4 separate regions of the Mus musculus genome follow, and regions 2, 3 and 4 are each reported to be linked to region 1. The links are microRNA targets in miRTarBase. Many come from high-throughput screens and were not tested one by one. Region 1 holds a microRNA gene; each other region holds the end of a gene's coding sequence.
Evidence for each region. The annotated mature microRNA mmu-miR-5101 reads UUUGUUUGUUUUGCUGAUGCAG and lies in region 1 at 1,609-1,630, shown strand. An mRNA with a match to its seed (bases 2 to 7 or 8) in the 3' UTR can be bound and repressed. Matches are read on the target gene's strand: a 7mer-m8 pairs with bases 2 to 8, a 7mer-A1 pairs with bases 2 to 7 and ends in A, and an 8mer does both.

Region 1 (3,103 bases):
TCCAGGCTTGGTGGCAAGTGCCTTATGCACTGTGGTGCCTTCTTGGCTGCCCTTCACCCAAGTTTGAGTAGGAAATGGCTTAAATGCTTCAAAGAAAAACCCGTCACAAAAACCAAAAGCATAGGCGTGTCCTTACAAGCATAGGTGTGTCCATGCAGAAATTCAGATGGAAACCCCATGGGGCGCCTTCTTTATGGGAAGGGAGGGTGGGGAGACTTGAAAAACTCAAAATTATAAGTTTCAAGGAAATGGAAGAGGATGATGAAGACATACATATCTGTTTATAATTGATCATTTAAATATTATGCTCTTCCAAATTGGAGGCATCATTCTAAACTGGGCTAGGTTTTATTTATATATAAAACATGGAGAACAGTACTACATATAACTTTTTGTCTTCTCTGAAGTTTTGTTTTGTTTTTTTTTTCTGGGCTTTTGTTTGTTCATTTGTACTTTGAGATAGGGTCATATGTAATGAGGTTGGTCTTGAACTCCCGATTCTCCTGTAAGTGTTAGATTACAGGAGTGTGCCATCATGCCCAGCTTTGGATTTACATTTCACTGGTTCAGTAATCATAGTAGTTAGCTAGCACAAAATAAGAATATAATCAGTGGTTCTTAACGTTCCTAATGGTGTAACACTTTAATACAGTTCCTTACGTTTGGTGACCCCCAATCATAAAACTATTTGTTGCTACTTCATAACTGTTATTTTGCTACTGTTATGAATTGTAATGTAAATATCTGTTCTCTGATGGTCTTATGCAACCCACAGGTTGAGAACCGCTAATATAATAAACAGGCGGTTTAGAGTCGGCTCTGAGTTAGCCCCAGGATTTTCCACAGCTGAATTAGTTAATGATAGTTTCACAGCCTTCTTTGTGCAGGTGGGGATAGCTTCTGAAAAAGTAACCTAATGTAGCTAATGAAGACTTACTAATTAGTGTGAATAAGGCCTGGGAAGCCTAAGCTATTGACACAGTTACACAATGTTACTAAGACGGACGAGCTGGAAGGCTTGGATCTGCTATGACTGATAAACTTGCTTTTTCCCATCAGCTGGACGCAGTGTAAAGTCACATGGCTATGTTAAGGTGAATCTGCTGTGATAGCCCTGTGTCATTGTGCTCTTGCATCTCCTAAGTCCTAGCCACCCTTCCTGAACCATTCCTTCCATTTCTGCTGCTGCAGTGTGGTGGTATTGAATACTCAAACATTGCTGGCAACCTTGCCCTTTACTGACATCACATACTGACATCTGGATTTCTTGGCACATTTTCAAAAGTAAAATCTGTCAACATTTTTTTGCCTCTCCTTCACAGAAATTTACTGGAGAAAAAAAGTTCCTAATTCAACTTGATGCTTCTTTTCAAAAATGTGAAGAAATGTATAAGAACTCGGGTAAAGTATCCTAGTTGCTTTTTAATGGGTCAGCTATCATTTCAAGATGAGTATTGTTTTACTTTGATGGTTTGGACATTAACTGTTTTCATCCCTGCTTTCCTTTCTTTTGCTTTTAATATTGTTAGGCAACATGCTTGTTGGTTAATGCAAATAATTTTCTTAGTATCAGTTACAAACAAAAACCGTTTTGTAAGACTTGTTGTTTTTGTTTGTTTTGCTGATGCAGCCAGAGAATGTGAGAGTATTAGAGAGGAGTATATGATGCTGGAAAAGAATGTTCACTCGTGCAGACAATACATCCATAACACGAAGGCCACACTGCAAAGAGCACTGATGTCTTGGGCAACTTTCGAGGAAGATCTCGCCCTACTAAAGGCTTCTTTTGACTTGACAAAGAAGGAACAAATTAAAGAGGTATTTGAAGTCAATGGTTCTATCCCAGTTTTACATTTTATTTTTGGAGACTGACTACATACATACACCATTCAAGTTAGGGATTAAAGGCATGCATTACCATGTCCAGCTAGAATGAACTTTTCTATTTCTTTTTGTTTGGAAGCCCATTTTGAGTCCAAAAGTTGAGTGTCAACAAAGGAGTAAACATATCTTCTAGAAAATTCTTCAAGAATTTGGGAAGAACTTAGTTTTTTCCTAATGTAATTGTCAGAGAGTATTTCCTTTGAATTGTACACACACACACACACACACACACACACACACGTTTACATAATAATACAGCTTTTTTTTTTTTTTGGATCACTCTATCAAGAACCTGGAGACAGGTTCTTGGCTATATGATCTAGGCTGGCTTCAGAGTCAAGACTCTCCTGTTTTCATGGGACTTCCTTTCTGATAGGATTACAGGCATGTCCTACCATGCCTACCTAAATCACTGTTTTTAAGAATTACAATTTTCCATTTAGTTAAAACCTTTTTCCCCTACATCTTTTCTGAATTTCCCTCCTACAGAGGGTCCCAGATTCATTTGATCAATAGAGGCTAATACCACCTTCATGATGGTTTTCCTTAGTCTCTAGGCCAAGAATTATTTAACACGTCCCAATTTAAGTCATCTAGTTTCTAGTTCCACAACTTAGTAGCAGCATGGGTTCTAGGAGATAAATGCTGCTGAGACCACGCCAGAGTTAAAAAGCTCTAACAAGATCTCTGGCATCATGGCAGAGGTTCGGGATTGTATGTTCAAGATGGCATTTTCTGAGTTATGTATATTTTAATATCAGATGTGTGGAAGGAATGTCAGTGCAACTATTATTTTTGTATGCCAGCTAGGAAATAGCATGTGTTTCTGTCACTCGCTTTTGTAGTTGAAAGTGGACCAAGACAGCCTTTCACTCTGAATGGAGCAGAATTACTTTGTGGACAGTAGGCTCTTGGTATGGAAGAAATGCAGGGAGTATAGGAGTGCACAGAGAGCACCTTAGACTTAGAAAGTTCCCTCGTCTCCCTGTCACCTGGGTTGGTCCTATAAGCTCATACCATTGGTTTTCAATAGTTCTTCTGTCTTTCAGGGTCTGATATTAAAATGTACATAAACCTGGGGAAAGTTGCCGTCTTGAATGTGACTCTGCTGAGATACTCTGGGCTTCCAGAGATCTTAAAAGAGACTTTGAATTTTACAGGAGACTTGGTAGCATCTATCACATAGACACTGTGCCAGTATTACATATTTGCCCTAGAT
Region 2 (3,103 bases), not on the chromosome of region 1:
TGCCAAGAGCAACTCACCAGACACAGTGACCATCCACCCTTCCTCAAGTTTGGCACTGCTAAGCTCCACCTCTATGCAGGATGGGAGTTCCCTGGGCAACATGGCCACCATGGTGAGCCCCATGGAGCTGGTGGCCATGGAGTCCGGCCTGACGTCAGCAATCCAGGCTGTTGAAAGCACCTCTGAGGATGGGCAGACCATCATTGAAATCGACCCTGCCCCAGACTCCGAGGCTGACGACACTGAGGGCAAAGCAGTCATCTTGGAGACAGGGCTGAGGACTGAGGAGAAAGTGGTAGCCGAAATGGAAGAACACCAGCATCAGGTCCACAATGTGGAGATTGTGGTCTTGGAGGACTGATTGGGGACAGGGCCAAGAGCTGTGTTTTGGTTTGGAATTTTAATTATGTTTATTTTTATCATTGTCCCGCTCATTTCCACATAGAACTTTTTTTAAAAAAAAAACAAAAACAAACAAAAAAAAACCAAACTACAAAATCTCGTTGTAACTGCAAATGTTGGGTTCCTCCTACTTCCTCATTGACAACTGGACAGAACAAGCTGCCTTTCCAGAAGTTAGAAACAGGGCACCCAGGGTCTGAACCATCTTTCCCCAAGGAAGGTAATTGCTTTTAGGGGAAGTGTCAAAATATCCAGGAATCCTTTCCAGAATAGTCTGTCTGTGTATACACGCATGGTCTCACTCTTGTAAAGACGCATTGACCAGACCCTGGAACACAGATCTGACTCCAGAAGATGACCAGCTCTGCTGTGGATACAGAAGCACGCTTGCCTCTGTGTCCTGGATATGATGGCCTCAGATGCTGGTGTGCAAAACTGAAAGAACAGGAGGTTGGCTCTGCTTAGGGTGGAAAGTAGTGTGATCAGCAGCTCATAGGGGGAGCCCTTTGACAGGGAGGGGCCGAGGAATGGTCTTCCAGAGGTGCATCTGATGCCCCTTGCGCTCTCTGAGGGTTGGGTACCATTTTCAATTTCAGAAGAGGACAGAGATTATAGAAAGACACAAAGCAATCAAAAGATTGTCACAGCTGTGCTTTTGGGATAGCTCACCTTGCCCCCAGCCTTGTCAAAGCCCTCACCCTCCTCGCCCAGGACTATCAGTCCATTCCTTTGCAGACTGTGATGTGGTATAAATTGTTCTAATTCTTGGACTGTGGCTGTCATGGAGGTGGGGCTCCAAGGCCATCATTTTTCGTTTCTTGACTCCAGGAATGGCAGAGTCCCTCGTGCAGACCAGCTGCTATTTTTGGTGGAGCCCTGCACGTAAGCATGCAAGTGTGTGTGTGTGTGTGTGTATGTGTGTGTGTGTGTGTGTGTGTGTGTGTGTGTACATGTTTCGGGTTTGGAACCAAAAGCAGTCATTTCCCTGGTGCTTCCTTTTCTTTTCCTTCCGTCTGCTGGACCCCATGCTCAGTAGCTTTTTGGCAGACAGCAGTGACAGGTGCCTGCCTGCCTTCATTCTCTTTGCCATTCTCCTCTTCTGATACCACAGATGTTTCTGTGAGATACCGAACTCATAAAATGGCTTAGGCTTGGCAGGGACAACTGGTAACACCTTTCCTGAGGTGTGGACTAGATGGCTCCTGAGTGAGCTGCACTTTCTGGGAAAGGGACATTGTATTTGACATTGTAAGAAGTATGACAGGAGTGTCAGTAACGTCCAGGCGTGGGGCTTCTTCCTAAATGCTGTTTGTACATTCGGTACTACTAGGTCACTCTTTCTGCTGTGATCCCATGTCGTTGATTCTCTTCAGCGTTTGGGGGAGAGTAAGCAGTTTCTGGTTTCTTTAATTATATTGTTTACTATGTTAGGGAAAATATAGAGACTCTCGAGGTGACTTTATAGGTCAAAAAAGCATACAGCTTAGGAGCTGGAGGATTTATTATTATTATTAAAAGTAAAATTTTGGCTTTTGTTTAAAAAAAAAAAATAGAGAAGGATGCCTGTCTAAATCTGTCTTCCTGCCTGCAGGTTTTGAAAACCCTGTAAGCAACCAAAAGTTGCACCTTCCATCTCTTAGACGGCCATGTGTCACCAGGGAAGCAAGCCCTCAGGGATCACTCTGAAGACCCTGAAGAGTGCGGCTTCTGAACTCTATTCAGATTTGTTTCAGCTTTAAAACTGGACTTTTCTTTTCAGACTCTTTAGTTAGGCTGGGGACAGAACTGAATTGGTAAAGTGGTCACCTAGCGTTCATGAAACCCTGGGCTCAGTCTCCAGCCAGAAGTAAACTGGGCATGGGGCCACATATCTGATCCTAACACTTGGGAAATAGAGACGGGAGACTTAGAAATTCAAGGTCATACATACCAAGTTCAAGACCAACCTGGGATATATGAAATAGTGTCTCAAAAAATTTTTGTTTAGGACAAGCTTTTGGTGAAAGAAGGAATTTATTCCTGCCTTCCTTACACTTTGTTAATACATAGGAATTTTTATTACATTTATTTATCTGTGTGTGTGTGTGTGTGTGTGTGTGTGTGTGTGTGTGTGATGGTGAGCTTGCTACGGTATGTATGTGAAGATCAGAGAACAACCTGCAGGAGTCTGTTCTCGCCTTCCACCATGTGGGTCCTGGGAATTGAACTCAGGTTGCCAGGCTTGGTGGTAAGCACCCTCATCCATTGAGCCATCTTGCCTGCTCTAAAAGTTTCGGTCTTCAGACCAAAACTGTTACTTGAACCTAGAAAGCCACATCGCATCCCTGTTGTGTCCTTTAGGTCATTTCTCTTTTCCAGAGATGGGCAGACCAATTCAGGACACGGGAGGCACCCTAGAGAATAGAGGCAGGCTCCTTCAGGTCCTGCCTTTTTGCTCTTCACAGCTGTTGTGTCATTAAAGGTTGTGTGAGCAGCATGCTTCCAAAGTCAGATTTCCTTCTTGAGACAGAGCCTGTTTACTTAAAACAGATTACATGAGCTTTGCTGTTTTCCTGGTCTTCCAATTGCTGTCATTGCTAGCTGCAGTGGTACTTGGAGAGATGAGATCTCTCACAGACCTGGTCTAGATTATTTTAGGTGGGGTGATACACATGCAAGCTTCTGATGTGTGAATAGGCAGTTGCAATGAAATTACTCCTCA
Region 3 (3,103 bases), not on the chromosome of region 1:
AACTCCACCACTGCCAGAGCATGGAGTAACTGGGGCTGTGTCAGTTTTTCCCAAGGACCATAGTTCCCTCCTTCAAGGGACCATGGCTGAGCATTTTGGGGTGCTCACAGGACCCAGGGACCTCAATGGCCCTGGTCTTAACCGTTCACGAGAGAGCCTGAGCCTGCCTTCCCATCCTCTGGAGCACCTGGGCCCAGCCCTTGGAGGAGGTGGGGGAGGCAACACCAGCAGCAGTGGCCTTCCCTTGAGTCCCGCACACAGAGACGCCATCGGCCGGAGTGGTATGATTTTACGGAGTCCCCGGCCAGACTTTCGGCCTAGGGAAGCTTTTCTCGGCAGAGACCCATTCCACAGTTTAAAGAGACCCAGGCCACCTTTTGTTAGAGGCCCTCCGTTCTTTGCACCAAAACGCCCATTCTTCCCTCCCAGGTACTGATGGAAATCTGGGGAAGGCATTTTGAACAGTCTATAGAGAGCATTGGAAGTAGCAGTTTGGGTTTTTGTTTAAATTTGGTTTTCCTTTCTTGTTTTTTTTTTTCCACTTTGTTTTTTTTTTTTTGTTTTGTTTTGTTTTGTTTTGTTTTTTTAATGAAGGGCCCTCCTTCCAAATTCAGAAAGCATACATGGTAACAGTTTGCTATTATCCAGTCCTCTCTCCACACTTAGGGCCTTTCCAATTTGTTTGTATTTTTTCTTTAAAAAAACAAAACACACAGGCATAAGTAAACATAACCAAAGCCACATTATTTGGCTGGGGGAGTGGGGAGGATAACAGTATTTATCCCATCTATTGAGAGATTACTTACATCGAAATAAAACTTCGGTCAGTACAGGTAATAACGTGCAATGTTGGGGTGTTATTTGGGTCTTGGCCTTGCTGATGGTCAGTAGGAGGAGCCCTGTCTCCTTCCCTCTCCAGCTAAGCAGCTTCTGTAACCAGCTTGGCTCCCTTCTTTGTATTTTCTACTCTGCAGAGGACCGAGAGTGTTTGCAGAGGGGAAACAATGGGCAGTGTGGGGCCTGTCGACTTTATTTGCTTTACTCTAAAAGCATGTGGAAACAGAATGCTTTCCTCTTTCCTTTTTTAAGCAGCCTCGTCTGAACTATTACCAGGCAGTGACTCTGAGGCAGTACAAACTTCATTATGTGCAGTAAAAAGTTTTCTCTTGCTAGATGTGGTAGCACACACAAGTCCAGCACTGGGAGGCAGGGGCAAGAGAAGGGCACGTTTGAGGCCAGCCCGGGCTATAGAGTAGAACTTTATCTCAGAAAGAAAGGAAAGTTTCTTTGTTGAAAGAAAAAGCTGAATATAATAATTTCAAGGTTAAAATGGGAAATGATCACAATATGTAAAGCTAGGGACAGACCACTCAGTGACCAACTGTCTTTTGTAAACAAGGAAAAGGGAAACATTTTGATGGTTCTCCGTATCTATTCTAAGCCCTTGTCTCCTGCTTTCCCTTACTTTTTCTCCCTCAGTTATTCTGACTAAATTGATAATGAATGTAGGTAAAATGTTGTCCCTGCCTTCTTAAAAATTTAAGTAGACACTTAACTTTACTATGGTGCCTAACTGGTGGTTTTCAGCAAACATTAACTATTAGAGAAAGGAAAATATTGTGTCTTTATAGTTTCTTTCTACCCTCACCCATCACAGTCCTGTATTCATCCTGTTCTTGCTGTTTCAGAGGCGATTGGGTGGTATCCTTACATGATACTGCGTAGGCGTGTCTTAGAGGCAGGGGGTACTGAGAAAGCAGCGTCCTGAGGAATCCATGTTATCCCTCAGCAAATAGCATCTTGGTGCTTTCAGTACCCACCTCTCACCCTCACCCTCACCCTCATTTGAGTTGCCTGAGTCATTGCTGTGGAGGGGAGAGCTTTCTTCCCTGCATTAAAAACTTTGTTTGTGTTTCTGCATCGAATCCCTAAGGGGAAGACAATCGTGGATCTTGGAATGTTTCTGTCTTTGTATCTGGGAAGCAGACACTGCACACTAGGTTTTCTGGTAGTGTGTTGCACCGGGGCACACGCTGAGGACCTCCAGCTAGGTGTGCTGCACCAGTGTGTTGAGCTTTTGAAGGAATTCCAGCAAGTTCACACAGGACTCTACAGAGGAAAGAAAAGGAGGGCTTTGGATTCCTCAGTGGGGTGGGTAGGGAATGGAGGGAAGGGTGGCCTGTGGTTGAAGACAATCCTTTTGTCTTGGAGCAAACCACTTTTTTTTTTTCCTGAAGAAAGGCTGTCCAGCAGAGCCCGGGAGCTGTGATCTCTGTGAGGTACAGCAAGAATCCTCAGAATTCACATCCGTTTTGAGCCAGTTCTTTCCTCTCAAGCCTTTCTGCCCTATAGGTCTCCTCACAAAAATGCATGATATCATGACCTCGTGTTTTGGGTTGGGTATAACATAGCAAAGCAAGGGAAATATAGTTATATACTGAGTCTTAAGACATTTGTTTAGTAAAAAAGAAAAAAAGGTATCAAACAGAGAATGGGGGCGGGGGCGGGGAAATTGTGACTTTCAGAATTGATTTTTTTTTCCCAGAAATTAAGTGGGGGTATTTTTCAGTCTAGAATAAAAGAATGTGAATTCTTTCTACCGCTCTTATTTAAACTTAAATATACTGTTTACTTGAAAAGGCTCTCTTGACTATTTGATTTTCTAAGAAAACAGGGAAGTATCAGGAAAGTGGTTTCTGAAATGTTGAAGCAGGATAACTGTCTTCAAAAGCATAGCGGCCGCCACAAGACAGGAGTGCGTTGTACAGTTCAAGGACGGACTTTTCAGGGCTTGGGGTTTGTGGGATATTTTTTGTTTTGTTTTGTTTTTGCCACAAGATCTTCAGTGTGTTTGTTTCAGGGTGGAAGTGGGTGTTATATGAAGCTGTCAGATATTTTAAGGAAATCTTCCTACAACAGTAAATGAAGACATCTGTATATATGTGATATAGTGAAACAAAAGACATTTCTGGTATTCATAAAGATAAAACAAGGATTTTATTCTTCCTGTGTCTGTGATTTAAACTCGGTACCATACTCTGGCTTTTGTATTTCACCCTAAGTTTAAAAATAAATAAACAAGATATTTTTTAAAGAATGCACA
Region 4 (3,103 bases), not on the chromosome of region 1:
TTAAACCCAGTAGTTGTTGAGAACAAGGCACAAACTCTAAGACTGATACATTCAACTACATTAAAACATTTAAATCTTATTTATTGAGAGATACTTTTAAAAAGTGAAGACAACATACATGGCAGACATTATTTGTTACACAGGGAACAGCTACAGACCACTGGAAAAGGCTCCTGCAACAACCCATGCAACAAAGTACTCAAAAAGAGGAAATGAGCATCAGCTGCCCCTGGGGAACGCTGCTTGGATGCAGACGAGAGTATCCTCTGTCCCACACCCATCTCGCTGCGCTGTATCATTGCTTTTGTAAAAACACGTATAGAATAAAGATAAAAATAAATTACATGCTCCTGCACACATGATAAAGTACCTGAGGGAGAGCTGACGGAGTACACAATCCTCCCTTCTACCTTAGGACAGAGGAGGCGGCAGTGCATTTCTTGTGTTTGAACAAATTCTAAATCAACTATTTCCAATACAATCTCTCACAACCTTCTGCGGATTCTACTAGGTGAGTATACTCATTAAGCTCTTAATGAGTCTCACTGGGGAAAGTTTTTATTTGTTTTCCCTTTCTAATACGGCAAGGTTTTTGTTTTTATCTTTAGTATTTCATTTTTGTTATACTCTTTATGTGTGAGTGAATTATGAGAAACTGAGTATTAAATAATTATATCCATTTTAGTCAGTGCTATGAACATCTGAATTTTTTTTTTTCTTTTCGAGACAGGGTTTCTGTGTGTAGCTCTGGCTGTCCTGGAACTCACTTTGTAGACCAGGGTGGCCTCGAACTCAGAAATCCTCCTGCCTCTGCCTCCCAAGTGCTGGGATTAAAGGCATGCTGCCCAGCTTTTTTTTTTTTTTTTTTTTTTTGAATTATTTTATTCACATTTTGGGGGTTCTTATTTTGTACTCAAAGAGAACATCAGCCATTTAATAGACACACTAGCCATATGGGGTGTGTGTCAAGGAGTTGGGGAGGGGGGCAGATTTCATGAGAGCGTCAAGAAGCACAACATACCAAAAAAAAATCCTCCGTAAATTCTGACAATCCTAAAGAGGAAAAATAGAAAAAGAAAATGTACCCTTTTGAGTCAGGACAGGTGAGCAGACCCAGGCCAAACTCATAGGGATTCACAGTGACTCCTAGGGACGGCTTTTGGCTCTTGGTGTTTTGTTTTGTTTTTTTAAACAAGATTGTATTTTATATCCCAGGCTGGCCTTGCATTCATGGCAACCGTCACATCTCAGCTTCTCAAGTGCCAGGATTATAATGAAGTGCTAGCACACTTATCATATTATGGGGTCAGATTATAATTTCATTTTCTTTTTGTGCTCTTAAAAAATAGTGTCAGTGTGTGTGTGTGTGTGTCGTGGTCAAACTAGATTCCCTGGAACCAGAGTTACAGTTGTGCCTGCCACTGGATGCTGGGAACCAACCCAGGCCCTCCGGAAGAGCAATAAGTGCTGTTAACGATTGAACTTTGTTTTAAGCAGGTTTCGTGTACCTCAGGCTATGCCTGAACTAAAAATATAGCTAAGAACCACACTGGACTATTTTTCTGCCTCCACTTCCATGGTGGTTTGAATATGCTCCGCGCAGGGTGTGGCACTACGAGGACGAGTGGCTTTATCGGAGTAGGTGTAACACTGTTGGAGGAAGTGTGTCACCGCCATAGAGGTGGGCTTTTAAGACTCTCCTCTTGGCCATGTGGGTGGCAGTCTGCTACCCGCTTCCTTTGGATGAAGATGTAGAACTCTCAGCTACTTCTCCAGTGCTCTGCCCTCCTGGATGCTGCCACGCTTCCTGCTATGATGACAACAGACTAAATCTCCGAACCTATAAACCAGCCTCAATGAAATGCTGGCCCTTATAAAAGTTGCCTTGGTCATGGTGTCTGTTCATAGCAGTAAAACCCAAACAAAGAAAAGTTCTCAAGTACTGAAACTACAGGCAAGTGACTTACATCACTTTAACCCAATTTGATTTCAGAAGGCAATGTCAGGCTGGGAAGATGGCTCAGTCACTATAGTACTTGCTTTGCAAGCGTGAGGACTTGAGTTGAGACCGCTAGCAACAATGTAAAAGCTGAATAGGTGATGTCCATCTGTCATCCCAGAGTTGGGGCAGCAGAGGCAGCTGAATCCCAGGAGTTCACTGGCTAATCAGCCCGGACACCTCCCTGAGCTCAAAAAAGTGAAGTGTGCCACCTAATGGTGGCATAGGCCTTTAATCCCTGCATTCCAATGGCAGAAGCAGGCAGATCTCTTTGTTCAAGACCAGCCTGGTCTACAGAGGGAGTTACAAGACAGCCAGGACTACACAGAAACCATGTCTTGAAATCACCACTCTTCCCACCACCCCCAAAAGTGAAGTATGACTGAAGAAGACGCCTGGCATCAATCGACATCTGACCTAAAACCCCACAGACACACATTATAACATATAACACAAATACAGTTTCAAAGCTTGTCAAAAATTGGAAACCCATTATTTCTTTCATATTCAATTTTCTTCGATAGAAATTCTTTACTTTTTCGGTCAATTAGTTCTTGAGAGAATAGATTGAACTTTGGAATAAAATAATGATCCAGTTTCTCTGTCCTGAGGCACTCAAGAAAGAATGCTAACAACTTATCGAAGCAGGAGCTGAGGTTCCTGGGGTCCCACTGACTGTCCTGCGGGTCCTGGGTCCACATGTGAAAGATGGCAGTTTTCACATGGTAGGAACAGAATGCATCCAGCTCTTGAAACTCTTTTTTCAACTGTTCCAAAAGGTATTTCATTAATTTTAAACATTCTTTTCTGTTAAATAAGAAAGAAGATACTCATTTTTACTTACTTACAACTGTCTCTTTTGAGACAGGGTCTCTCTATGTAACCCTGGCTTTCCTGGGACACAAGAGATCCACCCGTCCCTGTTTCCCAAGAACAAGTGCTGGAATTAAAGATGTGCGCCACCTTGTCTGTCTCTTTTTCTTTTTTAAACATACTTTCTTCTTTTCTTCCAATTTTTTAAGGCAGGGTCTCATTAGCTCAGGTTGGCCATAAACTCATCATGTAGCAGGGGCTGGCCTTTGGCTCCTAACTCTGCTCTGCCTC

Region 2: the mRNA of Gmeb1 is a reported target of mmu-miR-5101. Seed matches in the 3' UTR shown: 7mer-A1 at 463-469, 7mer-A1 at 469-475 and 8mer at 472-479.
Region 3: the mRNA of Rprd2 is a reported target of mmu-miR-5101. Seed matches in the 3' UTR shown: 7mer-A1 at 702-708 and 7mer-A1 at 2,954-2,960.
Region 4: miRTarBase lists Cgas as a target of mmu-miR-5101. Seed matches in the 3' UTR shown: 7mer-A1 at 1,484-1,490, 7mer-A1 at 1,179-1,185, 7mer-A1 at 1,174-1,180, 7mer-A1 at 592-598 and 7mer-A1 at 562-568.

Annotation. Positions count from the first base shown.
Region 1 is chr12:75,907,546-75,910,648 of GRCm38, forward strand. Mir5101 (microRNA 5101) reads left to right here and starts at 1,558; the gene lies at 1,558-1,640. Syne2 (spectrin repeat containing, nuclear envelope 2) reads left to right here. Exons shown (of 116, transcript NM_001005510.2): 15 at 1,323-1,401; 16 at 1,631-1,818.
Region 2 is chr4:132,223,023-132,226,125 of GRCm38, reverse strand. It overlaps Gmeb1 (glucocorticoid modulatory element binding protein 1), which reads left to right. Exons shown (of 10, transcript NM_020273.2): 10 at 1-3,103. The coding sequence ends at 361. Among named protein-coding and RNA genes, the nearest start is that of Ythdf2, 12 kb to the right of the region's middle.
Region 3 is chr3:95,761,013-95,764,115 of GRCm38, reverse strand. Rprd2 (regulation of nuclear pre-mRNA domain containing 2) reads left to right here. Exons shown (of 11, transcript NM_001368178.1): 11 at 1-3,103. The coding sequence ends at 436. Among named protein-coding and RNA genes, the nearest start is that of Tars2, 7.6 kb to the right of the region's middle.
Region 4 is chr9:78,430,462-78,433,564 of GRCm38, forward strand. It overlaps Cgas (cyclic GMP-AMP synthase), which reads right to left. Exons shown (of 5, transcript NM_173386.5): 5 at 57-2,806. The coding sequence ends at 2,464. Among named protein-coding and RNA genes, the nearest start is that of Cgas, 11 kb to the right of the region's middle.